Notamacropus eugenii: one gene and its partners. The protein of the gene in region 1 interacts with the protein of each later gene in a biochemical or structural test. Links are inferred from orthologs where the notes say so. Each region holds a gene or a part of one and is shown in the gene's direction. Other genes may lie near its edges. The genes, in order: FOS, RUNX1 and RUNX2.

The links.
Region 2: the proteins of FOS (region 1) and RUNX1 form a complex in vitro, tested with the Homo sapiens proteins (2 studies listed by BioGRID). The link is inferred for Notamacropus eugenii from reciprocal best matches to the Homo sapiens genes FOS and RUNX1.
Region 3: the proteins of FOS (region 1) and RUNX2 form a complex in vitro, tested with the Homo sapiens proteins (2 studies listed by BioGRID). The link is inferred for Notamacropus eugenii from reciprocal best matches to the Homo sapiens genes FOS and RUNX2.

What each region holds. Positions count from the first base shown.
Region 1 is NC_092878.1:58,112,200-58,122,848, forward strand, and holds FOS (protein c-Fos), read left to right. Parts: upstream 1-6,468; 5' UTR 6,469-7,105; coding exon 7,106-7,246; intron 7,247-8,104; coding exon 8,105-8,350; intron 8,351-8,865; coding exon 8,866-8,973; intron 8,974-9,107; coding exon 9,108-9,749; 3' UTR 9,750-10,598; downstream 10,599-10,649. UniProt on the Homo sapiens protein: Nuclear phosphoprotein which forms a tight but non-covalently linked complex with the JUN/AP-1 transcription factor. In the heterodimer, FOS and JUN/AP-1 basic regions each seems to interact with symmetrical DNA half sites.
Region 2 is NC_092876.1:423,815,415-423,826,208, forward strand, and holds the start of RUNX1 (runt-related transcription factor 1), read left to right. Parts: upstream 1-5,615; 5' UTR 5,616-5,735; intron 5,736-5,955; 5' UTR 5,956-6,015; coding exon 6,016-6,073; intron 6,074-10,794.
Region 3 is NC_092873.1:109,180,276-109,191,697, forward strand, and holds the start of RUNX2 (runt-related transcription factor 2), read left to right. Parts: upstream 1-6,962; 5' UTR 6,963-8,116; coding exon 8,117-8,488; intron 8,489-11,422. UniProt on the Homo sapiens protein: Transcription factor involved in osteoblastic differentiation and skeletal morphogenesis. Essential for the maturation of osteoblasts and both intramembranous and endochondral ossification.

The sequences.
Region 1 (10,649 bases):
CTACTGGTTCCTTCTTATTGGACTCAGCTACTTGGATTCTGAAACTGGTGGGACCTTGGCTAACTTTACTGTATCTCCTGATCTTACTGGTCAGTTGGATGCTTTCATTTCAAGAAAGTCATTTACCTAGGATCAAGAAAGGATAAACACAAAAGATTAAAAAAAAGAGCACTATGGACATATGCCATCTGAGCAGAAGACAGAACAATTTGTACCTATCCCTAGTAGCAATATGTAGAAATCTTCCTCATTCAGAAACTTCTAGGAGTGAGAACTAAAAATTGTTCACTTGAACCTGCTTTAGTATGCATATTCCATTCTGGTCCAACAGCCAATTACCATGTAGTAAATCTGTAGGAAACAGTCATAGGATACCTGGAGAGAAAGAGCCCCTCTATTATATACACCCATAAATAGACTCATCAAGGCTCCATATGAATTGGAACCAAACAGAACATCTTTCATGTCTCTGATGACTGGGATGCCACTATGCTTTTGGTAGGGATTTTTCTGCGTTAGAAAAAAAAAGCAATGTAATTTCATTCATTATTTAAAAAAAATTTTTATATAACATAAACAGTCAGTGTAAATTATGCTTGAGACATCTACCAGCCTAGAGTATGTAATGTGACCAACCATGATCCAGGCCCTGCCCTGCCCAGAATAATTGTGAAAGGATTTTCACTCTGTCAAAGAGCTCCAAAGTTGTGGTATCCTAGGAAGGGTGTGTTGCTAGCTTCTAGGTTTAGTGACGTGGGTAAAACTCTTTTTTAATTCTGATAGAAAAATCCACCAGAGTCACAAAACGTCATCCCAGGATAGGCCATTGTCAGCAGGCTACCTGTTCATTACTGTTCTCATCATAATATGAAATATGGGTCAGCAAGGTTAGGCTTGACTGACAAGATTCTTGTTCAATCCTGCCAGTTACGTTGCAAGATTCTATGACACCCAGTGTGAAATTTATAGATCTTAGCAACAGAAACAGCACCCTGGCATCTTTGGAGCCAGCTGGAGTATATTCCAAGGGCCATAGAAAGCTTCATTAAAAGGACTACACAAGCAGAAGAAAAATCCAATTGAATCATCATCTCTTGTCCTGATGCCAAGAGCGTTTCAGAATGAAAACACATTTGTGCCCAAAGTGGCCAAATCCTCAGCCTTAATTAATTTGAGGGGGAGGGAATTCTATGCAGAAAGTATTTTAAGGCATGGACTATCCTTGTGTTCTCCCTCTGAGCCACCAGATGAGTAACTTTGCCCCTATGACCTCCATTGTCCTGGTGCATGTGTGGAAGGCAAGAACTGGTTACAGCTAATTCTGGTTGCCATCTCTAGGCATTTGGCCTGGATAAGTTATAGTGTGGTAACAAATAGTCATTTCGAGAAAGACAATGTGGCTTTCATAGATGGGGCTGACGATCTTCCTCATTTGGCTCATTAATAGGCATTTGCTTTATCCTCCCTCCTTCACTACTGGAGATTTTCTATTCATTATGGGCCAAACTAGCAAGAAGTAGCCCAAACTTCTTGTGCTTACTTTACATTTTGAAGTTTCCAGCTATGTAAGAGACACACACACACACACACACACACACACACACACACACACAGCCTTGCATACCTTTGAATGACAAGAACTATTTATTTAGAGCTGGAAGAAACTTTAGATGTCATCTGGTCCAATTCCCTCTTTTCACAGATAAGGAAACAGAGGTCCAGAGAGGTTACCTGCCTTGTCCTGGATCACACAGCTCTCAAGTGACAAAGCTGGGATTTGAATGCATTAGGTCTTCTTACTGCAGATCCAGTGCTCTTTTTGGCTTCTTTTTCCTCAGAAAGGTTTTCAGAATGCTATATTAATGCTACCATTCATTTTATTTCCTTCCCTAGAGGTTATCTATAATTCATACTTTATTTACTTTACGCTATATCTACAAAGTGTACTTTATACAATGTACACTTCAACATATCCTGTATATCCATTAGATTGTATCCATTTCACTTAACACAATGGCTGGCATATGATAGGTGATTAATAAATGTTTGTTGGTCACTGTTTACACATTGATGTTTCTATGTTGTTTTACTCTTGGAGGGTGGGCTTCCTGAGGGCATGAACTGTTTTGGTCAGTAGATAGATGGCTAGGCCTGAAGTCAGGAAAACTCTACTTCCTGAGTTCAAGTCTAGCCTCAGACATTTACTGGGCAAGTCACTTAACCCCGTTTGTCTCAGTTTCCTTATCTGTAAAATGGTTGGAAGGAAATGGCAAATCACTCCAGTATCTTTGCCAAGAAAATCCCAAATGGCGTCATGAAGAGTTGGACATTATTTATTTGGGCAACCCAGACAGGATTATCATCACTGTTACCATTTCACAAACTGGAGATGTGAAGATGAGAAGCCATTTGACTTGGTGAGAAGTAACTCTCCCAAGGTCGCAGAAGGAGGCTTTCTGACTGAAGGTCTCGTGCTCAGACCACAGCCCTTTACCACCAGACCACACTTCCCTAAATAAATAAATACTTCTGCATGTTGTGTGCAGACTGTGCGCAGAGACATTTACGTAGGAGGTGAGGATAGCAGCCTTTCACTTACTGTAGCAACACTAAGCTAAAAAATACTCACTGACTTCACTTAACATTTCCTATCCCTCAAGAAAGCCTTTTGAACCAACAGTTTGATAACTTTAATTCAAATACCACAGAGGTTTAGAAACAAGAGGGAAATATATACTTAGGAAAGGACCAATAAGTAAAAGCAAGTAAGTTTTCCATTGAGTTACAGAAAAGATGAAGACTTCAACCTCCAAATGCTGAAGGAACACAGTGATAAATGAATAGAGTATGGATCTTGGTATCTGGAAGACCCTGCTTGAAATCTTGCCTCATGGTAGATTGCTTGAGTTTAAGAATTCTGAGCTGCAAAGGATTAAAGATAATCAGGTGTCCTTACTAAGTTTGTGCTAAACATAGTGAACCCTTGGGAATGCCAGTCTGCCTATGGATGGGTGAACCAGCTCAGGTCAGAAAAACTGAAGAAGTTAAAGCTTCCAAGCTAGGCAACATTGGTATCAAGTCATGAGAGGCTGGTACATTTCCAGCCTTGGAGAGATAAGGAAACCCAGTCTCACAGATAAAATAAAATAAAATCCTGACTGAGACACCTTGGCAGACACCTAAATACTCTCTGCCTCAATTTCTTCATCTGTACAATGTGGGCAATAATACTTGTGCCACTGTCATTGTGTTGTTGTGAGGATAAGATGTGATAATGCAAGGCAACTGCTTTGTAAATTTTAGGTATCATTGTTATTTTTTTAAGTCATGTGGCCAAGATGTTTTTGTACCCAGAAAAGTGCCAGATACTTTACTGTCATCCTCTAAGAGCCTAAGCTTGAGGGTAAAACTATATTCTCATCACATGATACATAAATGTGACTCTATAATAAAAATGAATTTTCATTTTTAATAGATAATCCTCCGCTACCTTCACTAAAGTCTTACTCTGATGCCTTGTTATGGTATGGAAGTGATCCTAAGCTATTCCAACAAAAAATAATCTCTGGCAAGTCCTTCAAAGTTGCAAAGGTTTAAAAACAGGAATGCAGCCAGGTGAGAGGAACACTTGCCCCCTGGGTTGAGTTATGTTCCAATGTCTTTTCCCTTCTTCTCTCCATTTGCATAGATGGCCAAAAGAATCTTGGGGTTGAGAACACTGAGAGGCCTTCAAAACAGAAAGCCCTTGGCAGGTTGATAGAAGAACCTCTAATGCTAATGTTGACAAGGCACAGTTTGGAAACCAGACAGGGAACCACAAGGAATTTCTAACCCCAAATCAGACGAGATTTCTGATGGAAACCCTGCCCTTGGTAACAAGAAGTCAAGATTAAACAAATAGATGAGTCTGTGGTTACTACTTAGCTGGGACTACTCTGTGTCCAGAAAATCTTGGCAGCAATGGTGAGAACTATTTTTTTTGGAGATGAAGTATCAGGTTCTGAAAAGTGACAGATTCTCTCTATGGAAGGAAAAGTTACTGAGAGTTCTTGCTTTTCTCCTTCTTTCTCTCTCTCTCTCTCTTTTTTTTTGGTTAAAGGGTGTAGCTTGCGGGAAAAGGGGAGTAGGGAAAGACATATTTGGAAATGAAGCTGATTTCAAAACTAAGGCTATCAGTAACATTTTTTTTTTTAAATTCCAAAAGATAGTTCTCTTCTGGCTAGAGGTTTTTCTAGTTGGAAGCAGAGGGATGGATTTGATGACCTTTTCAGGTCTCTTTCAACTCTGATGATTATATGATGGAGTTCTAGAGAGAATAGACATGAGAGCATCTAAGGACTCATTTTTCACTATCTGTTTTAAAAATGAGGCAAAAGGGGAAAGCGAACATAAATTCTTGAGAGGAAATCTTGACACAGTTATTCACCAGTATTGATTCTGGAGGCCTTGAAGGGAACTGAATGAAAATATTACATATTTTCTCTTAGCTAGCTGTAAGACCAAGCTAGAAATCAAAAGGGAGGTCAGATTCAAGGAATTTGGAACATTGACCTAATTTTTCCAGATCCGATAAAGAAAGGGAGTGAAGGATGAAGGGAAAGAGTACTGCTTTTTATCATAGGTACATCTGCTTTCATAATACTTACCTTTTTAAAGACCAAGGGCAGTAAAATGCAGAAAAGTCGAGAAGATAGGATTAGAGAACAGAGCAAGATCTTTTTAGGATTCAGAGCTGCTCTAACAGTTTTTTGTTTTTTTTTTTAAGAAGGAACAAGGGGATGGGGAGTGACGATTCCCGAGTTTAAAGCTTCAGTAACATAAGCCAAACAGTGACATAAAATGATGAAATTCTGTTTTCACCTTTGCTCTGACAGAGTATCACAAAAATAGCACATGGCCCAGTTCCACGAATCTCCTCCTTTCTCTTTTCCCTCTCTCTTTTCTCCCCCTCCCCTCCCTTTTGGTTCAGATCTCTAAGAATGGAGGTTACCGCACAGCAGCTGCGGCGGCGGCGGCGGCAGCAACAGCCGCCGCAGCAACAAAAAAAGCCCCCAAAACAACAAAATTCATCAGTCACTGAACTTAGCAAATGATCTCAAACCTCGGGAAACAGCCACAGCCCCAACAGATCCCATCCTCCTTCCCAGAAGGGATCTGGCACTACGTTCTCCCTAGCGCCTGGGCTGCTGCTCCCTGCAGCGGTCGCTTGGATACTTGAACTGGGCAGGCTCCTGTTTGTTGCTGTAAACAGCGGCTCCCCTGTTACTATCTATAGCCGGGATCTTTTTGGCTTCTGGGTGAAACGGACTGGGAAGCAAATAGGCTGTCAGACTCCAGGCACAGCCCTACACAATCCAGGCGGTGACCTAACGCGTGCCAGGGGACCTGCGTGATGCATCCCAATCCCCCACTACACCCAGAACAGTCCAGGGGCGTTTTCTGATTACGTTGTAACTAACAATACTGCGGTTGTTTCCTATGTAGAATTGGGGGTACCGAGACACTCCTCCCCTCCAACCACACACCCTCCCCATTGGCTTTTCACCGCAGCAAACGCTGCTCTTTTGTGGCTCAGAGGTCGCCAAGCTGAGCCTCGGTTTCCAAGGCAAAAATCAGGGGTGGTAAACTGAGGCTGCTTTTGGAGCAGAGAGGTTGTTGGTACTCTGGGTTTTAGACGGGTCTTGGCACGAGCAGACAGCTTGCTCCAGATGACTTTCTCGCTAGAGAAACTTCGTGTCTTCCGGACTGCGGAGATACTTCTGGGTTTCTTGTATTTTTCCGAACCATTTGAAATAACCAGCCCACTGAGCTCAACGTCTTCCTTAGCCTAGAGTCCCTATTCCACCCACGCTCCCCATCCCCAAACTGGAAGTACCTATTGATTGCTCATTTTGTGAACTCAATTTCCTAAAGTGAACTAGATAAACTTTTTTTCGAGTGTGTTCTTGGAGAGGAAGGGACCGTCCCACTCTAGTATCTGGCTTTGCCTTGCCCACCCGGAGTTGAGCTCTATCCCCCACCCCCTTACTCCTCCTGTACCCCTCTGTCTTCCGAGCCAGGTTGGATCAAGTTAGAAGGTAGCAAATTCCTCTTTATGTGGTGGTTTGCACGACAAACACCTATTAATTCTTATTAATTCATCTATTAACAACAAAACGCTGTAATTATACTAGAGCGGGGTGGGGGTGGGGGAATCTCCTTTCTCTTACAATCCTGCCCTCATCATAGGTCCTTTCGAAAAGTTTTTGTATTTTCTGGCAATCTTGTGCACATTTGGAGACCACCCTGTGGCTTCAAGCAAGGGAAGCTGAGTCCAGGTCCTGAGCAAAATTGGGAGAACAAATAGAGAATTGGGGACGAAGCTTGCGTGCGGGTCAAGGGACAGATCTCTAAAACCCAAGTCTCTGCACTTGTGTCAACATCCACAAGTCCCTGAGCTGTCTCCCAGACCACGTATGACTGGGGTTACAGGGCCACAGGTCGGTTGAAAGAGAGGTGATAAAAGGTGATAAAGTTTGATCACTTTGCTTCCCTTCCCCCCACACCCCTCCCCCCAAAGCCTTCTGGTCTACCCTACCCCTCAACGACTTGGCTACAGCCTCCTAGCAATTCCCGTCAGTCCCTCCTCCTTTACACAGGATGTTTCCCATATTAGGACATCTGCGTCAGCAGGTTTCCAGGCCTAGGAACGCTGAATTTTGAGTTTAGGGGAGATTTTTTCCAGGGATATCTCATGTGGGTCCCTGCTTCCTTTCCAAAATCCATTATAAAAATTCTACTTAATTTAAAGATAATTTGAAAAAAAAGACAAGAGGTTCAAACCGACAGGACACTTTGAAGAGCCCCACGGAGCAGGCCGGAGTGTAAGGAGTCACCCCTCCCGTCTAGGAATGGACTCTACCCATGACGTGAGGCTCATTCATGAAATGCTGGGACTCAAATAAAAGGAGCAGCTTCGCTCTCGTACTCCAACCGCATCTGCAGCAAGCCGCGGCGGACGGGACCGAGCAGCTGAGCGGGGATCGCGCTCATACAAAGCAAAGCAGCCTGCTCCGATCTGTCCCCGCCCCCACCACCCTTCCACCGGCTTCTTACAAACCTCAACATGATGTACCAAGGATTCAACACCGAGTACGAAGCATCTTCCTCCCGATGCAGCAGCGCTTCCCCGGCGGGGGACAGCCTCTCTTATTACCACTCCCCAGCGGACTCCTTCTCCAGCATGGGCTCTCCTGTCAATTCACAGGTAAGAGACTCCGCGAGGCGAGGGGCGCACAGCTCTGGGGGGTTTGCTTCTGATCGGGTTTGGGGTAGGGGCAGAGGAGGAGGAAGGGCACTGCCTCCCTGCAGAGTGGCCGCCAGGCTGCTGCTATTCTTAGGTACTGACCATACCGTGAATTTTCGCAGTCGGGTTTGAATGAGGAGTTCTGAGCGCACCCTTAGAGGAGAATGCTGCTTCCCTTTCATGGCTCCAGAGTGGAATTGCCTCTTCTTTTAGAGCCACTCTCCAAGAGGGAGGGAAGAAAGCAGCTTTCTCCTTCCTAGCAGCCCTCCCAGCACGTTCCTCGCATTATTTGCCGCTGATGTCTGATAAGCGTAAGGGGAAACGTGTCACGGAAAAAGGCTAGCATAGTCCTAGGTGATGGAAGGCGTCAGAAAAACAGCTTTCCCTTTGCCCAGATAGACTTCTCCCCGCAGCTAAGGAGCGGGAAGGGGGTGGGGGGGGCGGAGGGTGCAAGCGGGAGGGGTGTGTAAGGCAGTTTCATTGATAAAAAGCGAGTTCATTGAGGAGACTCCGGAGCGGAGCCTGCGTCAGTGCAGACGTCAGAGATATTTATAACAAACCTCCTTTCATGTGAGTGATGCTAAGGGGATAACGGGAGCTGTGACTGCCCAGATAGAAGAGCGTGGTTTGCAAAACACTTCGAGGGAAATGAGGAGACCCTTTCAAATGGAAATAGAACATTTTATAAGAGGAATACAACAGCTGTTCCTGGAGGAGATAGTTTCTTTCTTTGCAGTCGCAGTAAATGCACCTCACCTTCACCTACTTCTGAAACCTGGAATCCCACCAACGTCAATTTTTTTCTTCTTTTTGTTTTAGGATTTCTGCACAGATCTGGCTGTTTCCAGTGCCAACTTTATACCAACTGTGACGGCTATATCGACAAGCCCAGACCTGCAGTGGCTGGTCCAGCCCACCCTCATCTCTTCTGTAGCCCCATCCCAGACCAGAGTCCATCCTTATGGAGTCTCTTCTCCTTCAGCTGCTGTTTACTCTAGGGCTGGTATCATGAAGACTGCAGGAGGCAGAGGGCAAAGCATTGGCCGTAGGGGCAAAGTTGAACAGGTGAATATATCTCTGTGTAACCTTTCATGACAAGTGGAGAAGGATAGTAGTGGGTTAATGGGTTGAGTTGGCTGATGGAAACTTGTCGCCTGACACTGACAGGACTGGTTCTGAATGCCTTCACTCTAAGACAGAAACCTGCACTTGAGACAACTGACACTTTCTTAGTTTGCATACCACCACTATCACTTTCCCCCTAGCACAATTTGAAATGTAATGGGCAGATTCAGATAGGTTGTACACTTTTAAATTAATAAGTATGAGGCATTCAGAAGGGAAGGACTCTAGGACTCTGATGTAACAGAAGCTAGAGTTTTCTTTGTTCTCTGGTTGAGGATCTTATTTTACATTCAAGTCACACCCAGTCTGCAAGTGCAGGTTAGAAAAGGCCTCACCCAAGAGACTATTAGGAAAGGGGTGGGGGGGCAGCCAGAGGAACAGGTGGGATAGTGAATGGAGGTGCTACTGTAAAAACTGTAACTGAGCACTGAATGTGGATTTGCTTATTTTTCTAGCTTTCCCCAGAAGAAGAGGAGAAAAGAAGGATCAGGAGAGAAAGGAACAAGATGGCTGCAGCCAAATGTCGTAACAGAAGAAGGGAACTGACTGACACACTCCAAGCGGTAGGTGTCTACTTGGGCCATTCCTTCTAGGATCTTGGGGGCTGAAGAGAAAAGTTGCCTATCGGCCATGGGACATCGGGGACTTAGCTGAGCTTGTCCAAGTCTCATGTTTTCCTTTGTTCCATTGTTTACAGGAGACAGACCAACTAGAAGATGAAAAATCTGCTTTGCAAACTGAGATAGCCAACCTGCTGAAGGAGAAGGAAAAGCTTGAATTCATCCTGGCAGCCCATCGACCTGCCTGCAAGATTCCTGATGATTTGGGCTTCCCAGAAGAAATAACAGCTGCCTCCCTTGACCTTACTGTTGGCCTGACTGAGGCTACAACCCCAGAATCAGAGGAAGCTTTCTCCTTGCCCCTCTTGCAGGAGACTGAACCCAAACCCTCTGTGGAGCCAGTCAAGAACATCAACAGTTTGGAGCTGAAGGCTGAGCCCTTTGATGACTTCCTCTTTCCAGCTTCCTCCAGACCTGGTGGCTTAGAATCTGCTGCTCGTTCAGTGCCTGACATGGACCTGGCTGGTTCCTTCTATGCAGCAGACTGGGAACCTCTGCACAGCAGTTCCCTGGGGATGGGAGTAGCAGCTGACCTAGAGCCACTGTGCACCCCAGTGGTCACCTGCACGCCTACCTGCACCACCTATACGTCTTCCTTTGTCTTCACCTACCCAGAAGCTGACTCCTTCCCCAGCTGTGCAGCAGCTCACCGTAAAGGCAGCAGCAGCAATGAGCCCTCTTCTGACTCACTCAGCTCCCCAACCCTGCTGGCTTTGTGAGCAGAGGAAGTGAGGGTGAGGGTTGAAGGCACAGACAAGAGCCCAAGCTATGGGTTCTGCTGCCGCCACCACCACCATCATGCTGGAGCTTTTGCATCACATTACAGAAACGAGAAATGTGTCTTCCCCGCAATGGTTTCTGTAGACCCTGGGAAGGCAACTATCTGTGCGTGAATCAAACCAGGCCCTTAAGGACATGGATGATCCCACGTGTGGACTTGAGTCCTTACCTCTTCCAGAGATGTAGCAAAACGCATGGAGTGTGTATTGTTCCCAGTGACACATCTGAGAGCTGGTAGCTAGTAGCATGTTGAGCCAGGCCTGGGTCTGTGTCTCTTTCTCTTTCTCCTTAGTCTTCTCATAGCATTAACTAATCTATTGGGTTCATTATTGGAATTAACCCGGTGCTGGATATTTCCAAATTGTATCTAGTGCAGCTGATTTTAACAATAACTACTGTGTTCCTGGCAATAGTGTGTTTTGATGATTAGAATGACCAATGTTAACTAAGAAAAGATATGACTTTATTTTCTAGTAGATAGAAATAAATAGCTATATCCATGTACTGTAGTTTTCTTCTACATCAATGTTCATCATAAATGTTACTGATCATGCATTGTTAAGGTGGTCTGAATGTTCTGACATTAACAGTTTTCCATGAAAACGTTTTTATTGTGTTTTTAATTTATTTATTAAGATGGATTATCAGATATTTATATTTTTATTTTATTTTTTTCTACCTTGAGGTCTTTTGACATGTGGAAAGTGAATTTGAATGAAATTTTAAGCATTGTTTGCTTATTGTTCAAAGACATTGTCAATAAAAGCATTTAAGTTGAATGCGACAAATGTTGTGAAGTTCTCTTTCTACGAGTCTGGTGAAACTTTGATATGTGACAT
Region 2 (10,794 bases), on another chromosome or scaffold:
ACATCCAATCCCTTGTCAAGTCCTGTCATTTCTGCCTTTGTAACCTATTATGTATGACGCTTCTCTTTGTTGAAAAAATTTATTTAGCATTTTATTTTTTCCAGTTACACGTAAAAACATTTTTTAAGATTTATTTTTAAAACTTTGGGTCCCAATTTCTTTCCTTTCTTCTCTCCCTACCCTGCCCCTCCACATTGAGAAGTCAAGCAATTTGATATGTTATACATGTGTAGTCATGCAAAACATTTCCATTTTGTCACGTTATGAAAGAAAGCCAAAAAAAACCTCAAGAAAAATAAAGTTTAAAAAGTATGCTTTGATCTGTATTCAGGCACCATCAGTTCTTTCTCTGGGGATACATAGCATTTTTCATCCTTAGTCCTTCAGAGTTGTCTTGGATCATTGTATTACTGAGAACAGCTAAATCTTTCACAGCTAACTATTTCACAATATTGCTGTACCTTTGTACACAGGACATTTCACTTTTTATCAGCTCATGTAAGTCTTCCCAGGTTTTTCTGAGAGCATCCTGCTCATCATTTTTTATAACACAATAATATTCCATAATTTGTTCAGCCATCCTCCAATTGATGGGCAGCCTCTCAATTTCCAATTCTTTACACCCAGAAAAGAACCACTATAAATAGTTTGGGATATAGACCTACTAATGGTGTTGTAGATCAATGGATATTCATGGTTTTATAGCCCTTTGGGCATAGTTCCAAATTGCTCTACAAAATAGTTGAATCAGTTCACAACTCCACCAACAGAGCATGAATGTCTCATTTTTCCCACATTCCCTCCAATATTTGTCATTTCCCTTTTCTGTACTATAAGCTAAATCTAATAGATATAAGGTAATGAAGTTATTTTAATTTGCATTTCTCCAATCAATGGGGTGTTAGAGCATTTTTTCATACGGCTATTGATAGCTTTAACTACCTCATCTGAAAACTGTTCATATCTTTGGATCATTTATCAATTGGGGAATGGCTCTTATTTTTATAAATTTGACTGTTCCCTATATATTTGAGAAAAGAAGGCCTTTATCAAAGAAATCTGCTTCAATTTTTTTTCGCAGTTACTACTGCTAGCTGTGGTCTTATTCCCACCCCCTCCATTTATTCTATTATTTCTCCCCTTTCACCTTGTCTCTCATTAAAAGTGTTTTGCTTCTGACTACTACCTCCCTCAATCTGCCCTCCCTTCTATGACCCCGCCCCTCTTCTCATCCCCTTCCTTTCTACTTCCAAGTATATTTCTATACCAATTGAGTGTGTTTGTTATTCTCTCTGAACCAATTCTGATACGAGTAAGGTTTACTCACTCCCCCTCATATCTTCCCTCTTCCCCTACACTGTAAAAGGCTTTCTCTTGCCTCTTTTATGGGAGATAATTTACCCCATTCTACTTCTCCTTTTCCCCTTCTCCCTATACATTCTTCTTTCATTCATTAATTTTATTTTTCAGATATCCCCCTTCATATTCAACTTACACCTGTGCTCTCTGTCTACATATACTCCCTCTAACTGCCCTAATAATGAGAAAGGTCTTATGAGTTACATGTATCATCTTCTCATGTAGGAATGTAAGCAGTTTAACCTTATTAAGTCCCTTATGATTTCACTTTTCTGTTTACCTTTTTATGCTTCTATTGATTCTTGTTTTTGGAGTTCACATTTTCCATTCAGCTCTGGTCTTTTCATCAAGGATGCTTGAAAGTTCTCTATTTCATTGAATCAGCCCTCCCTCACACAAAACAAAGTCAAGTGCAAGTAATGTCATTATTTCTCTGATGGCATGATCTCCTTTGGCAACGAAAGATGAACATACACCATTTCATTGAATATCCATTTTTCTCCTGAAGGATTATATTCCATTTTGCTAGGTAGATGACTCTTGGTTATAATTCTAACTCCTTTGCCCTCCATAATACTATATTCCAAATCCTCCAGTCCTTTCACATGAAAGCTGATAAATTTTGTGTGATCCTGACTGTGGCTTCACGATATTTGAATTGTTTCTTTTTGATTGGTTGCAATATTTTCTCCTTGGCCTGGGAGGTCTTAAATTAGTCTATAATATTCCTCTTCTCTCTCTCTCTCTCTCTCTCTCTCTCTCTCTCTCTCTCTCTCTCTCTCTCTCTCTCTCTCTTTCTCTGTCTCTGTCTCTCTCTGTCTCTGTCTCTCTCTGTCTCTCTCTCTGTCTCTGTCTCTCTCTGTCTCTGTCTCTCTGTGTGTCTGTCTGTCTCTCTTTCCCCTCTCTGTCTCTCTCTGCCTCTCTCTGTCTCTCTGTGTATATGTGTGTGTGTCTGTCTCTTTCTCTTCCCCCTTCTCTCTCTCTGTCTCTCTCTGTCTCTCTCTCTCTCTCTCTCTCTCTCTGTTTACCACTCTCCTGGCCTGTGCTCTGGTTTATGAGTGACCAAAATCATCCTTTTCTGCCCTAGAAATACGATGAGGGTCCCATTCCATTGATGCCATAAGCTCTGGTGTCCTAGTGTTCCTCTTCTCCCTGAGACTGCCACCCAGAACTGAGACCCAGATTTGACTATGGGCAAAGCAAAAGACTTACCTTAGTGCTAACAAAAAGACTCTTTAGTCTCCTTCTTACCAGGTGTTCAATTCCTTTACAATCTGTGAGCTGAGAGCTCCAGAAGCACTTACTGCCATTGCTGATTCAATGGTTCCCAAGGCCTGCTCCTGGTTTGCTGGGGCCTGGTCTGCAGCCTGCACTGGACTATACTTTCACTGAGTTGTGATAGACCTTTCCTGCTGACCTGCTAAGTTGTCTTTGTCTGGAAAAATATTTAATTCGTCCTATTGTGGGTTCTGCTGCTCCAGGAACTGCTTTATGGCATTATTTGAAGGTGTTCAGAGGGGTTTAAGGGAGACTTCAAGTGAGCTGCTGCCTTTTCTCCACCATCTTGGCTCTACCCCAGCATAATGCCTTTCTATAGACTTGGGGAAGGCAGCACACAAGCAATTTAAAATACTTGTACTACAGTGTGAGAAATATGTATTTATATATGTGTGTATATATATATATATGATTTTATTGACATAAAAAGCTTCTAGTGAGGAAATGTCTATCTACCAAAGTAAAGCAAAAACTTATAATTTTAGAGAGAGACAGACAGAGAGAGACAGAGAGAGAGCGAACAGTATAATCAGGGTTCAAATCCCCTCTTTGATAAATATTGGCTTGTGTAACCTTGGACAAGTCATTGAACTTCTCAAAATTCCAGGCAATACTCTGTTTCCCATGCCTTCTCTCTGCCTGGCTCTCTTCTTCTGTCTCTCTCTATCTCTGTCTCTCTCTGTCTCTTTCTCCCTCCCTCCCTCCTTCACATACGGACTGTCTTCTTTGCTTATATTCGCAGTTTAGTGAAGTTACAAAGGCAGACTGAATTCAAGAGCAAGAGAGTTTTTGTACAGTCACTAGTTGAGAGACCAGGAAAGCCCCAACTGTTGCTTCACAGGGCAATGAAGTTATCCTGTGGCTAGTGTGGCATCTAACTGTGGGGACAATGTTTCATAGCATGCATTCAAGTGCGGGTACTCTTGCCCCCTGGTGTTATGTCTGAACCCCAGCTGTATGTGATTGCATATGTCAGACCACAGACAGCTTTACCCTTAATACAGTCTTGAAAATTTTTCCTTGCCTTTGACCACTCCATCAAGGGACCACTCTTGACCATGTCTGTACCCACAAAATTAAATTGAGGATACAAACTATTTAGCTGGATAATTCAAGCAAAAATAGCCAAATGCTTTTTGCCTGAAGTATCTAAATACTTCAGGCAAAGCTTGTGGGGAGGTTTAAACAGAAGTATCCAAATGATCACATCAGTTCTCCAGTTGATTTGTATGTCATTATTGGCCCTAACTAAAGTTTGCAATGGTAGCTAGACTTGAGAGCACTGGTGGTTAGGATCCTTGAAAGATGATTTCTTTGAGAAGGGCCATTTGTAAAATAATACATAAAACAAACTGCTCATGGATTCAAGTGGAATTTCAGCTTTATCAATTGACACAAGAACATTGGAAATGATGAGTAAATTCCAGTTATGCTGCTAAAAAATAATACATGGTAAAGAAGCTTTATACAAAAAAAAAGGCATCTAAACAAGTCATTACACAAAAGCAGGCAGAAGTTAAAAATGTGGCAAATAGATTTTTTCAAGAGTTTTGATGACTTTTTTTCTGAATATTAATGGTCGCTATATACAAAAAGAACTGGAGAAAAATGTCTATTTAAAGTCAAAATTAGATCTTTTTTCTTCTTGTCCAGCAATGGACATTATTTTTAGGCCATTTCTATCTGTTGCAAAGTGAAACAGAAAATCAAGGCGATTTGCTGATATTTTAAAAAATACATTTTCTGGTCATATAGACTAAATTAGCGTTTAAGTTCTAAATGGTATACGTAATCACCTCAGTTCTTTACTTCGCTTGTATTCATTGCTTAGATTGTTTTGAGGTAAATGCTAGAACTTAAGAAAATAAATGATTTTTTTTCATCTTGTTTGAAAAAATGACTTAGGGAAGGACAAAATGCTACTTTTATATGTAAGCCTAAGAACAGCAAGTAGGAAAAATAAATAAATACGTACAATCAGAAGGTTTTGCCCATATGTAAACTTATTTGCTATTTTTAGTATCTCAAATAGGAGCCTTTGCACAGGTCATCACTTGTACTTATAAGGAGATTTATCAGTGATCCTACCTGGTGAAAAACAGAGTTCTCCTAAATATGTTCTGTAGAATACTTTGACAAGTTGAAGATCATAGTGACCATACTCTTAGACTATTTTCTCTACAGTTGTGAAGTAGACTCTCTGCAGGTTTCATTTAACTGAAGAAAAGTTGGGGGTAGTGGAGACAATTTTTGGAAATTACAACAAAGAAACATTACCTATGCAACAGGTACTGCGTTGCTCAGAAATGAATGCTATGTCTCTTCATTTTTCCTCCAATGGACTGCAATTAACTGTTTGATCTTTTGTCAAGGAATGGTAGTCCCTTAAGCCTTTTACTAGAAAGATGGATCTAAACAGAGAAAATCATTTTTCCATAAATGCAAAATGTTCCATTCATGAAATTTGAAAAAAATAGAATTTGCTTAAACGTTGTCTTTTTTCTTTTCTTTTCTTTTCTGCTTTCATTTATATTATTGTACTCTTTAATAGGAACTGAACTTTCCTAAAGCTGATGGGTAGTATTTTAGATTATAGGGTATGTATCCTGTTTTGACAGCAGCCTGATGCCAGGACCAAATTACTATTGAATAAGCAGCAAAAAAATCTTTATCAAAATACTCAGTAGTTCCAAAAACCACAAATAACACCAGAAGCAAAGTTGTACTAAATCAGCAGAGACCATTTGTATAACAAGGGACTGAGTCACTTTTTTTTAAAGCATCTCTTTTGCTAACACTACTATTTCCTTGCAGTCTGGAGTGGGGGGGCAGTTGGGGGTAGGGAAAGCATGGCTCAGAATCTTAAAAATGACATCACTTAAGTCACATGATTGGCAAGAACCAATTAAGATGGGCTGTGGAAAGGGGAACAGTTAAATTTGTAATTTTGGTTGTGTGAAACACTTCTTTGGGGCCTCATAAACAACCACAGAACCACAAGTTGGGTACGGTGGCAGTCACACAAGACTGGGTCCGGGATATTGGTCAGCAGGCAGGGCAAATCACACTGTCTGCAAACCACAGAGTTTCGTAGAGCGGTAAGCATCACCAAGCCACAACCAAGCCACTACGAGGCTCTTTTCAAAAAAAAAAAAAAAAGTTTTTGATCTTCAACCATTTGAATAGTTGTTTTCAAAGAGGTATCTTTCATAGGGCTTTTGGAGGCTCCTAAGTACCGGGGTAAAAGCAAGATGTAGAGAAGGATGGAAGGGGTAAAGGGTTAAAACAAATGACTCTTCTTGGTTTTCACTTCCTAAGGTGAAAGAAATCCTATAGTCCCCCAACTTTAAGAAAGGACTACATTGGAAGGAGAAAACTATGACTTCGGACAGCATGTTTGAGTCATTTCCTTCATACTCACAGTGCTTCATGAGAGGTAAGTGTTCTTCAGACTTTGAAAATGTACTTCTGCTTAGTTTTGCATAGAACAAGGAGTGGCATTTCAGTCCGTGGCACAGCAATGCCTGAAACTCTTGTCTATTCTGCGTGAGGGATTCTGGCTGAGGCATATGATTACAAGGCGATTGGGTTACTTATTCATCATATGGCAGCTCTTCAGAAAAGTTTTTCAGAAATAATTAGTTAAGCTTCTGAGGCACTCGGTTGGTATTTAAGAAACTTTTTCAAGTGCTAGTCAGTTAGGCTTCTGTTTTTAAAGTGCTAAAGATTATAAAGCTATTCCAAAGCTCTTTGGGGTTTACAGTGATGTTTTGTGTGTTGGACTGTTAGGTCTTAGGTATCCTGAAACAGTGCGTGCCGGCTGTAACTCATTCTTAGAGGTTCTTATGTCTTAGCGTGAGCACATGGATGCAGCCAGTAGAGAGGAATGCTGTCTCATTTATGATACCTGCCAGTTTGGGAAGAAGGAAGGATGAGGTAAAACCTTGGAACTCAGGATTAGAAAGGACAACCCATGTGTCTCAGAAAGGTGGGAACTGGACAGACTCGTTTCATGTGGCTTTAGCTTTAAAATGTCAAACTGTGACAACCCTGCATTGCCAAGTAAACACATTGAAAGAAACAACCAGTTCTTTCCAGAGACAGAAAGAAGTCAAGCTATAGCATGCAGAAGTCTCTCCTTCAAGCAAAAAGAAAGGAGTTTCAGTAGACTTGTGAAGTGTTCTTAAATTCTCAGTAGAGCAGATGCTTTTGTCATTAGACTTCATGTTTACTAATCTGAATTGCCAGTTTGGAAAACCCGTCTACATTCATGCGACCCGACTAGATCAAATTTTCTAAACTATAATTAAAGTGAACTTGCTTTTATTTCGGGGTGGTTTTGTTAAGTTTGTTGGGGGCATGGTTATAACCTGACCTTATTTTTTTTTAATAAAAATGTTCAGTGTTTTGGTATGACCATGCAGGTTCAACATTCAGAATTCCTTGTTGGCATAAGGAAGGCTTTTGAGTTTGGGGGACTTTTTGTCACGGGGGAGGGAAGGTGAGAGTGGAAAATTAATTTACTTTCTCTTTATGGGTATAAAATCTTTAGATCCCTCTCAAACAGTGCCATAGTACTTTTTTTTTTTAAATTCATACTAAAAAATGTAAGCAGAGGCAGGCAGTTACTATTTCTCAGGATCTCTGAGATTTGAAAACCCAATTAAGATGTGGGGAGATAAGGGAAAGGGAATGAAGCAAGGGTCATTAACAGATTTAAAACTTCAAATTAAAGGTTTTAAGTTATTCTTTACTGGCATTGGAGGGAATTTTAGTGAAGTTGAATCATGAGAAGTTTTATGAGTCATGCAGTCTTGCAGGATCTCTTAGCTTGCAAAGCACAGACATCAGACCACTAGTGAAAAGCTGCTAACTACTCCCCTGGCTCGGCATTTCCTTTCAGCTGCTAACAAGTAAAGGAAACAATACTTGCAGAAAACAAAAAAAAGTACCTTCCTGCATTTACTTTAGTTTTACACATTCCCTCCCTCCTCTTTCCCCCCAAAATGTTTATTATTTCCTACTTTGTTAACACAGGAAGACTTATTGAGGAAATTTTAGAACATTCCACAGGGCAATAGATTGGAGTCCATCATATAATTCTGGCATGTGAAACTTCCCTTACAGAAAGAGCACAGAAGACTGTCAAATGATTTATTATTATTTATGCAGTGTTGACAAAATAAAATGAGCCCAACTCTAATCCTGGCACAGTAAGTGTGTTCTAATGCTAGACGAACCAGTTCTTTAAAAATGGATCAATTTGCCTTCAAGTGGGTAGGTATGGAGAGTTCTAGGATACTCAAAATTAGACTTAGAAGTCAATTATCACTTTCTTCTTTTCATTAAACAGAAACTTAGGCCATTCAGAACACTTAACTTTATGGAATACAGAATTTTAGGGTTGACAGAGAATTCAAGGGGCAGCTAGCTAAATCCCCAGACTAAGAGGATGACCTCTACAATATCCTTAAGAAGTAGTCCTAAAGCTTTCACCAGAAGACCTTCAATGTGAGGGAGCAGCTAGCCCCTTTGCACTTTCTGATAATTCTAATATGAAAATATTCCTATCATTGAACCTAAATCTGCTTCTCAGAAACTTCTACCTATTGCTGAATTCTACCTTCCATGACCAAACACAAGTCTAATCTTTCTTCCATATAACAACCTTTAAATACTGCAAGAAAGTCATTGTAAACCTCTAAGTCAGTTCTGATTGTCCAGTCTCTCCAATGAATTCAACTGATCTTCATGTGGTATATTATCTAGACCCTTTACCATCTGCTGACCTCCCTCTACTAGCTAAGTTCTAGTTTGTCAGTCTTTCCTAAAATGTGGCAACAAGAAATAAAAAATATATGCTTTATGTTTTCTAACCAAAACAGAATACAGGAAAACTATTGCCTCTTTCATTCTATGAACTTTGACTCACTCAATGCAGCCTCAGATCATGTTAACTCTTTGGTCCATCATGGAAGTAACCCTGATATCTGCCTGAAATAATTTTGGCAATTACCATTTATTTTACCAACAATGTCACTATAAAGTTATCTAGTTTGGGTGACAACGCCAAGCACTTTAATTGTATATCTACCAATTTTTCATTTTATTTGGCACTATGTAGACACAGTCTTAAGAGTCTGATGCAACCATAATAACCACTTTCTCAGACGTGTTCTCTCCCATATTTCTCAATACTGTTTACATAGCCTGGACATTGGCAATTTCTAAAGCAATCATTCTTGCTCCCTGAAATTTATTGCATTTTGCTCCCTCACCAAGCGCAATTACAAGCTGAAAGGGAAAATAACAGTTTGTTTTCCTCCATGAATTTGATTTTATCAGCCCATGCAGTCCTTGTAGAAGGAAATCCATAACTCTTTTTTAGCTTGATATTCATGTGAAAGTTGGGGAAAATAGGGGGGGGGGGGATAGGGAAGCAAGCAAACAATTGCTCCCTTCTTTGTGAGAATACTGTCAGACTCTGCAAGTCTGACATAGTAAATGAATGTGGTATACCACAAAGGATATGGCTCTTTTTCTATCATACCACACCAGGTCCTCACTTAGTTCACTTAGGTAAGGAAGCTAAGACACTGGTGAAATTCCCTGGTGTGTACATCATACATATTTAGCACATAAAATCATCCGTCCAGCCCAGGCTTTTGGCCTCTGAATGACTTATTACTAAAAGGGGGAAAGGAAAAGAAAGAAAGAAAGAAAACACAAACACATAGCTGCTTTTGCAAAGCAACAAACAGGTAGGCCGCCTTGTTTTTAGAAGTGGCTTAGTGGTCTACAGAAAGCCTAAACATTGGCATACCTTTGAGTTCCTAGAACCACAGGTACAAATTTCAGCAGTTCTGACTTGTTCATCATCTCTATGGCTCGGTTATGCCAGAGCCAAGTCTTTCAAAGAAAACCATAGAACAAAGGCTGCATTTAGTTATATGCTATGCACAACAAAGAGCAGTGAATGCTCATTAGGATCTTAGATTATTAGAGCTAACATAGAACTTACAGATGTTCTAGTCACTTATAAATGAGGAAATTGAGAACTGAAGCGTTTCAGTAACTTTCTTAAAACCACAAACTTAGAGACAGAATCAGACTAGAAACTTAATGTCCTCTTCTTTTTCTAATACAATAAATCAATTTTCATTTACTAAGGAAAAATATGTATTAAAAAGAAACTCCCCTGAATCACTGAAGAAGTATTAGCAATAAAGCTCCAGGGAGTAAAGATCATTAGACTTTGGCTATGAATGTATTTGTGCTAGACTTATACAGAGCCTTCAAAGTTCTCAAACTATAAAAAAAACTGGAAAACAAAGTGTCCCACCTGCTCTAAGAAGATGTAGAACATGTGGTCTTCAGGTCTTGTTTTGCTTTGTTTTTGCAGGACAAAAATTTTTACATTCTAAAATTGTCCATGCAAACAGAAATTTGGGGGTAGGGCAGAGGTGTGAAGAAACCCTCACAATCTCAATTTATTATAGAAATTCTTCCCTTCATCATTTCACATATTGACATGTTTCTTAAACTGATAAAACAATTTTTTAATGTTTAAGTTTCTTTCAATATCTAACCAGTTACTAAAAACACAGTGTGCCTACTTGACTGTATACTGTAGAACCATGGAACTTGCCATATACTCTGAACGTTTGCAAAAGTAAGCATTGCAAGATCAGGGGAAGAAAAGGAATCCAAAAGGAATGTACCATTATAAAAATACTAATTAGGGTTAGAACCTGATGATGGGGAAAAAGAAAAAAAATGGTGAATGAATGTAATCATCAAAAATGATAAAGTTATTAACTTTAAGAGGTAAGGATACCATCTTAAAGTTGATTTAAGACTGAAACCTTTTGGAGATTGTAGATTTTAAATTGCCTTTAGAAGTTCATAAGCAACGCACGTAACTATTACTATACCTGTATAGCAGGTCTTCTGGGACTATAAAGAGATCGTTTTCAATGTTTGAAAACCATTCTGTTTAAATGTTTTAAAATGCATTCTGGGTAAAGGAGATTTGATCTTTGGCCAATCTGCAACCCAGAAAAGTCATCATATAATCACTAGTTGTTAACGAAGGGATAAAACAACTGAAAAGATCATACCATGTGATCCATTTATAAAGTGAGAACCTCTTTTTCT
Region 3 (11,422 bases), on another chromosome or scaffold:
TGTTTTACTGAGTGAGGCAAAAATTATTTTGCACATGTGATACATAAATGAAATTTTTGAAGAAGATGATTTTATAATGACCCAGAGTTGGCTGAATAAAGATAGAATAATGGTGTAGAGGTCTTGAGGTCAGAGAGATAAAACTCTATGGCAAGAAATGTGGCTTTGAAGAAAACATGACTTGATAGAGATAATCTGAAGAAAAGTCTTTTTAATTTAAAAAAAAAAGGAGCTTCAGGAAGATAATTCAAGGCCAGAAAATTATAGCAAAAAATTTTTGTTTGTGGGACTTAATGAAGGCTAGGGAGGAAGGAGGAAAATTATTCTGGAACTTAACCTAAACAGGGGGAGCTTAAGAAAAGAACCTTGTGGAAGAGTTTGTGAATGCCACCCTAGAAGGACCACCACCACCTTGAGGAGTTGAAAGGCAAGCAGTTTTGACCTCTAATTAAAAATGCTTTCCAAAGACACCTTGGTAGCCCCAAGGACTGAGGCTAAGAGGTCTAGTTAACTCAAGTATGAGACAGGTTCAAAAACTCAATCAAAATTATTAAACCCCTATTTTGTGCAGAGCACAGTACTGGGTGAAATAAAAAGTTTAGATAACTCTTTGCCTTCACTGGGGTTGGAGCAAGGAGATGAATTTATATGTGAAGGCATACCAAATTCTAGTAGACTAAACTGTGTTTGAATCTTGCTTACCAATATATTACTTACCCTGTAGTAAAGTGGATTTTACATTCTGCCTGAAAGAGTTATGATGTGTATGACTCATTCTGAAGAAAGATCACAGGAGATAATAAAGAGGTCAGACTATAGTCAAAATCTCTAAGGAGGAGAAACAATTCAATCCTTTGGGTAGTGACAATATACTGAATAGAGGAAAATTCAGGGAGCCTTCTTTTTTTTCATTTTCATTTTATTTTTTCAATTAGCAGAATTTATTTTCCCTCCTTCCATCACCCCTCGCCTACCATGGGAAAAAAAGATAAACAAAGACAAAACCCTTGTAACAAAGATGCATAGTCAAACAAAACAAATCCCCACAATGGCCATGTAAAAATATATCTCATTCTGCAATAGACTCCACCAATTCTCTCAAGAAGCAGAGAGCATTCCTTCTCATCCATCCTCCAGAACTGCATTTGGTGATTATATCGATCAGAATTTTAAAGTCTTTCAAAGTTGTTTTGTTTACACTGTCATTATTGCCTAAATTGTTCTCCAGGTCCTGCACATGCCACTTTGCATTGATTCATGCAGTCTTCCCAGGTTTCTCAGAAACCATCCTCTTCATACTATGTAAACTGAGGAGGTGCTGATTAATCGGGAAATTACCAAACAAATTATGGCATATGATGATGATGGACCCTTATCATGCTGTAAGGAATAGCAAAAGAAACCTTCGATTTGAGGCAACGCTTCACGGTTTGATTGCAGAGCTTCACAAAATACTGCTTCAATATTTCAGCACCCTTCCAGCATTGCTGTAGTACCTTGGAATGCTGCCAACCACAGAGCTGATTTTGTATACTATACAATTAGTACTGATCAGTATTACCATGTATGGAAAGTGATCTGCCCACTTTAAAGTGCTATAAAAGTGTATTGCTATTATTTTCCCTCCACTAACTGATGAAAGATGATACGCTTTTGGAAACTGCATGAACTTTGTCATGCCAACAGGGTACCTTTGAGTGTGTTGCTCTTTTAGGGTAATGCAAAGTTTACAATTTTTTGAGCACCATACTTAGAGATCAACTAAACAAGTGTCCAACTTGATGATAAAGTACAATAATTAAAGTTCATATCTACCTTAATAATAACACTGCATGCTTTTATTATAAAAGATCACCATGGACCACTGGATAAAATAACAGGATAACTAACTGAGAGCAGTATTACAATCCTGAGTCTCCCACTACAGATATTTTATTTCTTATTATAACTACAGATGGGCCTTGAAAAAATTAGCTGTTAAAAATAATCCAGAGAAAGAGTAAGTGGAAAAATTAATTAAAATATACAACATGACCTATACACATGATGTCAAAGAGGTTTGGACTTGGAGTAGAAAACAACTGCATTCAGATCCTGGCTCAGCAATTTCCTAGCTGTGTGACTCTGCAGGTAACTTAACCTCTCTGATTCTTATTTCCCTTAGTTGTAAAATGTGGACTATGATAGTAGCATCTAACTCACAGAGTTGTCACAAGGCTGAATTGAGATAATTCATATAAAGCAGTATACAAACCTTTAAGTGTTATAGAAATGTGAGCTATTGTTATTTAGTGAGGATGAAGCTAGTGAGAAGTCTATGTACTAGTAAAAGCATTGGTAAGATTTACTGTCCTTTCCCCTCATAACCTTACCTCTGAATTAAGCTCTTTGAGGGCAGGGACTCTTTCATTATTGAGTTTTATCCTCATTACCTAGCACAATTCTTGGAATACAGAATAAATTTAATAGATGCTTGCTGACTGATTGATTGATAAAGGTATCCAGCAAAGAGCCCTGTTCCTTACTTTCAAATAATATCCAAATTTCTTCTCTTCATTTCTCCCAGTTTCTTAATTTTAAAAAATGAAAGTTCTATAGTATACACAGACATTCAAAAGAACTGGCAAACAGTGAAAAATATCAGTCAAGAATGAATTTTGGAATCATGCACCAAATAATTAATTCATGTTCCAAATTCTTCATTTTTAAATGGGTATTTTATGCAGACTGCAGACAGAGATTGTGTATATTAGTAAAAATATAAACTCCTTCAGTGCAGGGACTACCTCAAATTTATATTCCTAAAACCTGGCACATAGTAGGTACTTAATAAATTGTTGTTGACTGATTGATTAATCATATCAAATACCTGATCTTTACTGCTGTCACATTCTGCTGTGGGCCTGAGGTGTTTTCTCTTTGTGGGAGCTAGGTGGCACAATGGATACAGTACTGAAGTTCTAATCTGGAAGCCCTGAGTTCAAATACTGATGTTGATACCTACTTGCTGGGAGACCTTTACCAAGTCACTTATCCTCTCTTGACCTCAGTCAAATGGGGACAATACAATATAACCTACTTTTCAGGGTTGTTGTGAAGATCAAATGAGTTAACATATGGAAAGTGCTTTGCAAACCTCAAAGGGCTGTATAAATGTGAGCTATTAATTAATATAAGAGTTTGTAATGATACAAATATTACAAGCACACTTAGTGAAGGTGTTTTATGACCATACTACAATCACACCATCCAGTACAAAGTAAAGCCCTGTAAGTGAATTCCTGTTTACAAAGCCTTCCCATTTGATACATGCAGAGTTTTAGGCCCCATTAACACATCTGTAATTTTCCATTGTACTGAAGGGTTTTTCCACTTAGGAACTGTAAGTTTTTATTAGCTGATCCCTTGAAAAATGCTTTAAAGATTTACTTTATTTGGAAAGCCATTGAAGTTGACTTTTTATGGTCTGCCATTTTGATGATGAAATTCACATCACAAAAAATATAAAATGCTGTCAAGAGTTTAGGACCAACAAGCTGGATGCAGAGATGTGATCTATTACCATTTCTGGGATTGTTTTACTTGAATAGACAAATAATCCGATCTCTTCATACCTCACTTTTTTCATTGTAAAGTTAGAATAGCAGAATCACTCGGTATCATTGGTAGACATTTGTACTAATTGTAAGAGGATTATCTTTCCACTGACATCCTATTCTGGAACATAATTTTCAATGCTGCTACATTTCTACTAAGGTTATTTGCTTTCTGACCCCATTAAGTAGAATCAAGAAAATGAGTATTCTCTAAGAAGAATCTAAGGAAAGTTGTGTACCTTATGTTTTCTGAGAAGAGAAAATCATAACCAAATTGTGAGATCATAAAATTTATAACTATAACTATATATGTACATTTATATTTAAAATTCCATACTGTTTTCATATGTGCCTTTTATTACCAGGGGAGGTTTTATTCAGGGGTTTCTAAATTTTTTTCTTCTTTTAAAAATAATGCTTTGAGCCAAGAGATCCGTTCCAGGCTTCACTCAGTTCCAGTTGAAAGTGTAAATGTTCAGCAGGATATTTTTGCAAGGAGCCTGAAAAATCACCAGTGCCAGATACCTGAAACTTTGTTAGAGTATTCAGTGGAAAATTTCATTTCCACATTATAAATAACTGTAGGATATTTTAAGAGATCGAGACAAGTACCTTCCAATAGCTGATTATATTCCCTCTACAGAAATGTGAAATAGGGGGAAGACAGGGAAGGTGTCTATAAAACTCAGCTACCGGATGTGACTAATTAAAATAAATAATTTTGACATTCACTAAATTCTCCATAACTGCCCTCTCTCTCTTCCATGAGTTTTATTTGTAAATAGGGTAAAATTATACCTTAGCGACTTCTACTATTTATTCCAATACTCCTATTCTATCTTTGACATATAAAGTATATTGAAAGGTAAAACACTGAAGGAAAAGGAGAGGGAAAGTCCTGAATGTTATTGGTTAAACTTTCCAACTGATCTAAATCTTCTTTTACAAAAAGAAAAGTTCAGCTTTCCCATATTTGAAAATGGGTGTTGAAATTCTCCTTCACCTTTTTCTAATTCAGTAGTTCTCCTGGGCAAGGACATCAGGGTGGAGAAGGCATGGTTTTCATCTGGCTTGTTGGTTATTAAGCTTCCTATTTCCCTTAAACCAGAGGAATAATTTCACTTCCTGCAACGCCTCCCCTCTTTTGCATTTTGCATCCCTGGCGCAATTTCATTTTGATTGATACCAAGAGATCTCTGCCAATGTAGGGAATGGTATTGTCTGGTCCTTTCCTCATCCCCCAAAAAGGTGGGGAACGGGGTAAGGGACAGTGACAAACTGAGAGGTATCTTTTGGTTTTTGAAAAAAAAAAAATAGAATTTCCTCTTCCAGGACAGCAGCCTCAGGCAAGGGGAAAATTGACCGCGGTGTTTGCAAATAGTGAACAGTGCCCAGAATTAGAGCTCTCCCCTGTGACTAAAAAGATTATTAAAAAACAAAAAACAAAACAAAAACCGTACATACAGACGTACAAACAATTCGATGCATAATAAACTCGACTCGGATAATCCCACAAACTTGCGCCCGCCAAGGCTTGGAGGGTGGGGGAGAACTGACTTACGGATGGCGATCGGAGTGGGGGGGCAATGGGAAAAAGGGGGTTGTTTCCGAAAGTTGTTGCTTTTGTATCCTTCTTTTTGGAGAACTTGTCAGCGACAGTAGCAACTGTAGGAAGGCAGAGAAAGAAAAAGGGAGGGGAAAGGGAAGGAAGTTTGTGCTTGCATGTGTATATGTATCTGTGTGTATGGTTTAGGGTCGAGAGGCGGATGCACAAAGAATAAATTAGTAAAAAGAGTAAAACAAAAATGGAAAAAAGAAAGGAGAAATTAGGGATAGACAGGGAAGAAAGGGAAAAAAATATCCCCAAAGAGGAGGAATTTTTTTTTTTTGGTATGTGCAATCTGGGTCCGAGGAAGCTCATTCCTTTGATTTGCGTACACACACACACACACACACACACACACACCACACACACACACACACACTTCTTTCTTAGGCTCTCTTTTGGTCCTCCAGGACTGGGGCGATTCTTGTTTCCGTGTATCTTTAAAAATAGACCTCGGAGTTTATCTCGGGCTTGAAACTAGTTTCAAAGTCAACACCACCAAGAGCCCAATGCCCCTCACTTACGCTTTCTGCATTTCCCCCACCACCCCAACACCTTTCAAACGCAGACCCCTCTAGCCTAAACACAATCCAACCTTTTAACTGGAGCAGTAAATTGAAGCGAAGCCTTAGAAATTACCAGGAAGATTTTCATAGGTTGTTATCGATATGGGGGAGGTGTTTACATATTTTTAAAAAATTACTATTGGGTATGTAAATTATTTTCAGCAAGCTTTTTTATTTTTTTGAGAAAACAGTTACACTTTATCTTTAAAGTCTAAGGAATGATGCAGAATTTTCATTCACTTAAGGAAATGTAGATTGTGTCGGATCCTCACTTGGAGTCTCAGAAACTCCGCCGGCAACTCATGATTTTCATTTTGTGAAAAACAAGATCTTCAAGTTGTTAAGAGGAAAATGTTCATGAAAAGCCGGGAGAGCAGCAGTAACAATCGAGCAAAGGGAGAAAACGGTCCTTCTCTCACCCCCCCCCCCCCCCGCCCCCTTCCTGTGGGTGAAATTGATGCCAAAAGATTCTTCTCTCCCCCTCCCATTTCCCCCACCCCCACCCTGCTTCTGTGGGCGAAGCACATCGCTGTATTTATTTTGAAGGCTACGGAGTATGAGGGCTGGCTGGAGACACCCACGTGCTTCTGACTCTCATCAGCATAATGATCGCCTTAGCCAGAGAGTCCTGTCTATATAAACCACAAAAACCTAATCATTAGAAATCCCAGCCTCCAAAAACCACATTTTAGGACAAAAACTGAGGCATTTTTTCTCGCTCCTTCATCCTTTCGACCACATTTTTTGGGGGATCCAAAGTAGCTTCTCCCCCCCTTTAAACTCTGATATACAAATAAATAAATTACACCCGCTGAATTTGGGGGGGAGAAAGTTATGGGGGGATTTTTAATTTATTCATTTTTAGACTCAGCAGAGATTTGAGGGGCTGAAAACGCACCGGGAACTGCCTATTTGCGCACACCCCCCCCCCGCAAGTTTTTTGCGACCTATTTTAACCACCAAGCTGACAGTTTTCCAACTGTTTTTAATCCTTCCTTCTTCTTTGGCAGTCACAAGGTTGAGTGTGTAAGAAAAAAAGTTTATTTCTTATCCTCTGTCATCAGTCACGCTTTTTTTCTCTTTTAATTATTCTTCTGACCAATATTTCAACCCCCACTCCCTTTTCCGCTTTAAAAACAAATAAATAAGAACTTTTTTTCTCCCTCAAGCCTTTTTGGCTGTGGTGGGGGTGGGGTAGGGTGGCGGGGGTGAAGAGCGAGAGACAGATTAAGAAGTCAGCAGAAAGACTTTGAGAAAAACGAAAAGTTCACTGCTGTCGGATCAAGCCACCACCTCTTGGGCTTCCTAAATACATTTGGTTAGGAAAGCTCTCCCCGGTCTTTTAGGGGAGACCGGAAGAGGACAAGTAGAGGTACCCTCTCTCTCTCTGGGAGCCATTCTCACATCTACCGACACCCAAACCGGCTCGGTATCCCGAACCTGCGGCACAGACAGTCTCGTCCTCCTTGGTGTTTCTCCCCCGCTGGTGGACAGCAGCAGTACAGCAACAATGCAAAGTTAGGACTAGAGATCGTCTGCGACTCAACTTACCTCCCGGCACCTTGAAAATCATAAGGAAAAGAAACTCTTGCACTTAGAAGCAAGGAGGTGGTGGTGAGCGAGAGAGAAGAGGAGGGGGGAGAAGGAGAGAAAGAGTGGAGGAGGCCTGAAGCTGCGGAGGGTAGCGGCGGCGGCGGCAGCCGTAATCTGAGTGAGCTAGAACACAAGGGGGGAGCATCTGCGGCAGCGGCAACAGGAGGCGGCGAAGGAAGAGGAGGAGGAGGCGGAGGCGGAGGAGAGGGCTGCAGCTGGGCAGCTGTGCGAAGAGCCGCGGCCGCAGCAGCGGCAGCAGGCAGTCCCGGGGCTATGCTGTTTCCAGCTGGGCGCTGCTGAACAAGAAGCCGTCTGCAGAACTGGACTTGGGGAAAGGGGGGCTCCAGGGAGGACCAGGAACCCAGGCGTCCGAGGGGACCCCATTTAAACCCATTCCAACCACAAGCTCCCCCCAGCCGCCACACACACCCACGCGCCCCTTCTCGGCTGCCACCCTCGGTTTTTCCAAAGACTCCGGAAAAGAACTGCTCGTCCTCTTCTCCCCACCCCGCCAATCCGAACTGATCAGCACCTCCACTCTCCCCCTCCCCCACCCCCTCCCCACGCCTAGTGTCAGACTCTTCCTGGCCTTTGGCTCCATCGAACTTGATCTCGTTTATCTCCTCCACCCCATTGCCTACACCCCTCATTTCTCCCCCTCCCCTCGTTCTCTCCCTCCTGGTTTCCTTTTCTCCCTTCTTTTTCACCCGGCTTCCCCTCCCCCCCGGCCACTTCGCTAACTTGTGGCTGTTGTGATGCGTATTCCCGTAGATCCGAGCACCAGTCGGCGGTTCAGCCCCCCCTCCAGCAGCCTGCAACCCGGCAAGATGAGCGACGTGAGCCCGGTAGTGGCTGCCCAGCAGCAGCAGCAGCAACAGCAGCAGCAACAGCAGCAGCAGCAGGAGGCGGCGGCCGCGGCGGCGGCGGCTGCGGCGGCGGCGGCGGCAGCAGCGGCGGCGGCGGCGGCCGCGGTGCCCAGGCTGCGCCCGCCGCACGACAACCGCACCATGGTAGAAATCATCGCTGACCACCCCGCTGAACTAGTCCGCACGGACAGCCCCAACTTCCTGTGCTCCGTCCTGCCCTCTCACTGGCGTTGTAACAAGACCCTGCCCGTGGCGTTCAAGGTAAGGAAGGGGCTGCCGATTCTCTCTGCCGCCTTGCCCTTCTGACCCTTGCCTCCACCCTCCTGCTCACCCAGTACCGCAGCCCGTCTGAACTCCCCATCACCAGGCAGTGAGTGTGCGTATGCCTGTTCGTGTGTGTGTGTTTGTGTGAGGAAGCCGGCTCCCCCAGATTCCCTCAGAGGAAGGGGGCGATGCATTCTTCTGTCTTGATCCCTTACCAGTTATCACAAATGTAAGGGTTGCCCCAACGCCTTCCCGAAGAGATCTGACTCTCCCATTTTAACCAAGAATCCCTCACCCCCGTGTGTACCTTTCTTCTAATCCGAACTGAAAAAGGGCATGGTGCTTTCCAGCTCCCGGCTGGCTCGCTCCCCTAACTTCGCAATGATGCACCTTTTTAATCCCTTCTCCCTTCATCCCAGCTCCACTTTCCCTTCTCTGCCGCCAGGGTAGTTTAGTGCACCTCTTTAGACTCTAAGCCACCTTTCCAAATGTCTAGTTCCCCCCCCCCCCCCCTTACCTTCTGTCCCACCTTCTTTCTTTGACCTCTTCCCCCTTCAACCTTTTCATTTACCACTTCACCCCCTCATTCTCCAGCAGTAGTCCTCCCTGCTTCTCTGCCTTTGCTTTAGTCCTACTCCTCGCTCAGCCCCTGGTAACTTTCTTCCAATCACTTAGGCGCTATAAGCCCCGACACCGCCAGCCTTCCCTCGTTCACCGTCCTTAACTCTCATAGCATCCCGGGACCAGTGTCCTCTCCACGGTTCCGTTCGTCACCTCTTCGCTTCCAACCCACTCCCCCAGTGCTCAGTTTCTACTGCTCCCCCTCCCTTGCCCAGACTTCCATCTGTGTTCGCACGCAGTGGCGGCGAGGGATATAGGCTCTATTTGCCCCCTCTCCTTCAGCACAGTTTTTATAGTCTCTTATTTGATTTAAGGAAAAACTAAGAGTCGAAGCCACTTAGAGTATTCTCTTTCTCTCTTTCGCCTCCACCTCTCAGTGCCATCTCTTTTATCATGCCAGAGGGTCTCCGGGGGAAATCATTACCCGGGCTGGGCTCTCTGTCGATGCCCAGGGACTCTGCCCGAGAGCATCGAAACCCATTATTACCCGAGGAGGTTTAGAGGATCTGGCATTGGGCTAGTTGGGCAGCTGGGCCCCAGGGCAGGAAAGCCCTGGAGGTCAAGCTAAGGATGCCGGCTTTTCTAGACTCTCGACGGGCTTCGCTCAGTCCCTGAGGCTGGGAAGAGATAGGCGGGGCGGCTGTTGGAGGCTCTCTGCAGCTGTCCAGAAAAACTCCTGTCTTCCTGTGGGGTTCAAGGGGGAAGTGGAAGAGCTGGAGAGGGGAGCCTTCTGAGGTATTCCAGGGCCGAGAGTGGGCTGGGCGGGCGAGGATCTGGCCCCCAAAGGGGCTATATGTGTGCCCGGGCTCCGTCCGCACTGATTCGGAGTGAGTTCCATTTCTACACCCCCGAGGTGCCACTGGACTAAACAGAGATCCTCACGTACTGAACGCCCCCGTCCCAATTTTCTTCTTTCTTCTTAGAGCTCAGTCTGGGAAAGTTGGTGGGGAGGGAGAAATCACTTGAAAATTTTACTTCTAACTTTAAAAGTTTGGAACAAAACTCAGTATAGCCTTTAAAAAACAGCTTTGCTTCCTTTATTCTCATTCCCATTTTCTCTTTACATCGCTTTAAGTTCCAGCAAGCCGTGTGAGTTAAGCTGGTGGGTTAGTACCCCCTCACCTTTTTTGCGGGAAGAGATACGAACTTGAAGAACTAGGGGAACTGGACCCGGCAACAGCGGGAGAAGTCCAAGTTAACTGCTTTACCAATCTGTCTTCTCTCCGTCTTCCCCCTGTCGCTCCTGGTAGTTCGCCTAGCAAATACCGTTATCTGGGTTAGAATATCAGTTCTAGGGGTGAGTTTGGGTTCGGGAAAACACCCTGTCAGGTTGAGGAGTGTGTGGTCCTCAGCCTGTTGCAACACGGAGTGAAGCAGCCCAGATGAAGGCTCCGGGACAAGCAGGGGCTGCCCAAAAATTGTGGAGGCAGGAATGAAGCACCTTCCCAGGCAGTGGGATAACCTGGGGACTTGTTCAAGATAAAGAGGAGATCCTGAAAGAAAAAACAAATGTTGTCACCCCTGGGGCCTAGATTTCTGAGTTGCAAAACCAAAACGTAAACTAGACCGAAGCATTTTTTTCTCCCAAAGGCTATACTAATCGTCACCACCCCTCATTAGCAGAACTTGTACAGGTTGGATTTGGGTCCCTTGGGTTGGTACTGTCAATAGAGATTGGGGTAAGTAAGGAAAGTTCCGGGAATGAAAAAAGGAGGAGGTTATGCCAGTTATTCCCGTAGTGGGGCTGGTGCCAAAACTCCCACAGGCCAATCGCAGCTACTAGTCCTTGATCACTTTTCCCCCACTCAACAATTCAGATGCAGTGTGTGGGTGGAAGTAGAAAGAAAGAAAATTCCAGGTCAATTAAAAGCACTGGTTATCTAGATAGGTTTTTTTTATATTGTTAGTATCAGTACAGAAATCGGAATGAGTATTATGGGAAAGGGATGCTGCACTTGGGGGCAAGTTTCACTTTGCAACTGGCTCATCAAATTGTTTTTAGTCTTTGCCATCTTCCCTTATTAATTAGTCATTTTTAATGATTAGCATTTTGTGTCCTGAAAAAATGAAAATCTTGGAATATTTGTGAATAATAATAAGTATTTAATCTGCCAACTCAAAAGGCCCAGAATTCTCATTAGATTCGAAGGTAACATGTTAAAGAGTTGTAAAATTTAAATTTATTAGAAATATAAGATAAAAAGATGGATATGCAGTGTCAGATACACCAAGCATCTGAAGTAAAACTTTGTAAGTCCAGTGATTAGGCTACATATGCTCTCTGATTCCAGAAATCTGCACATTTAGAAA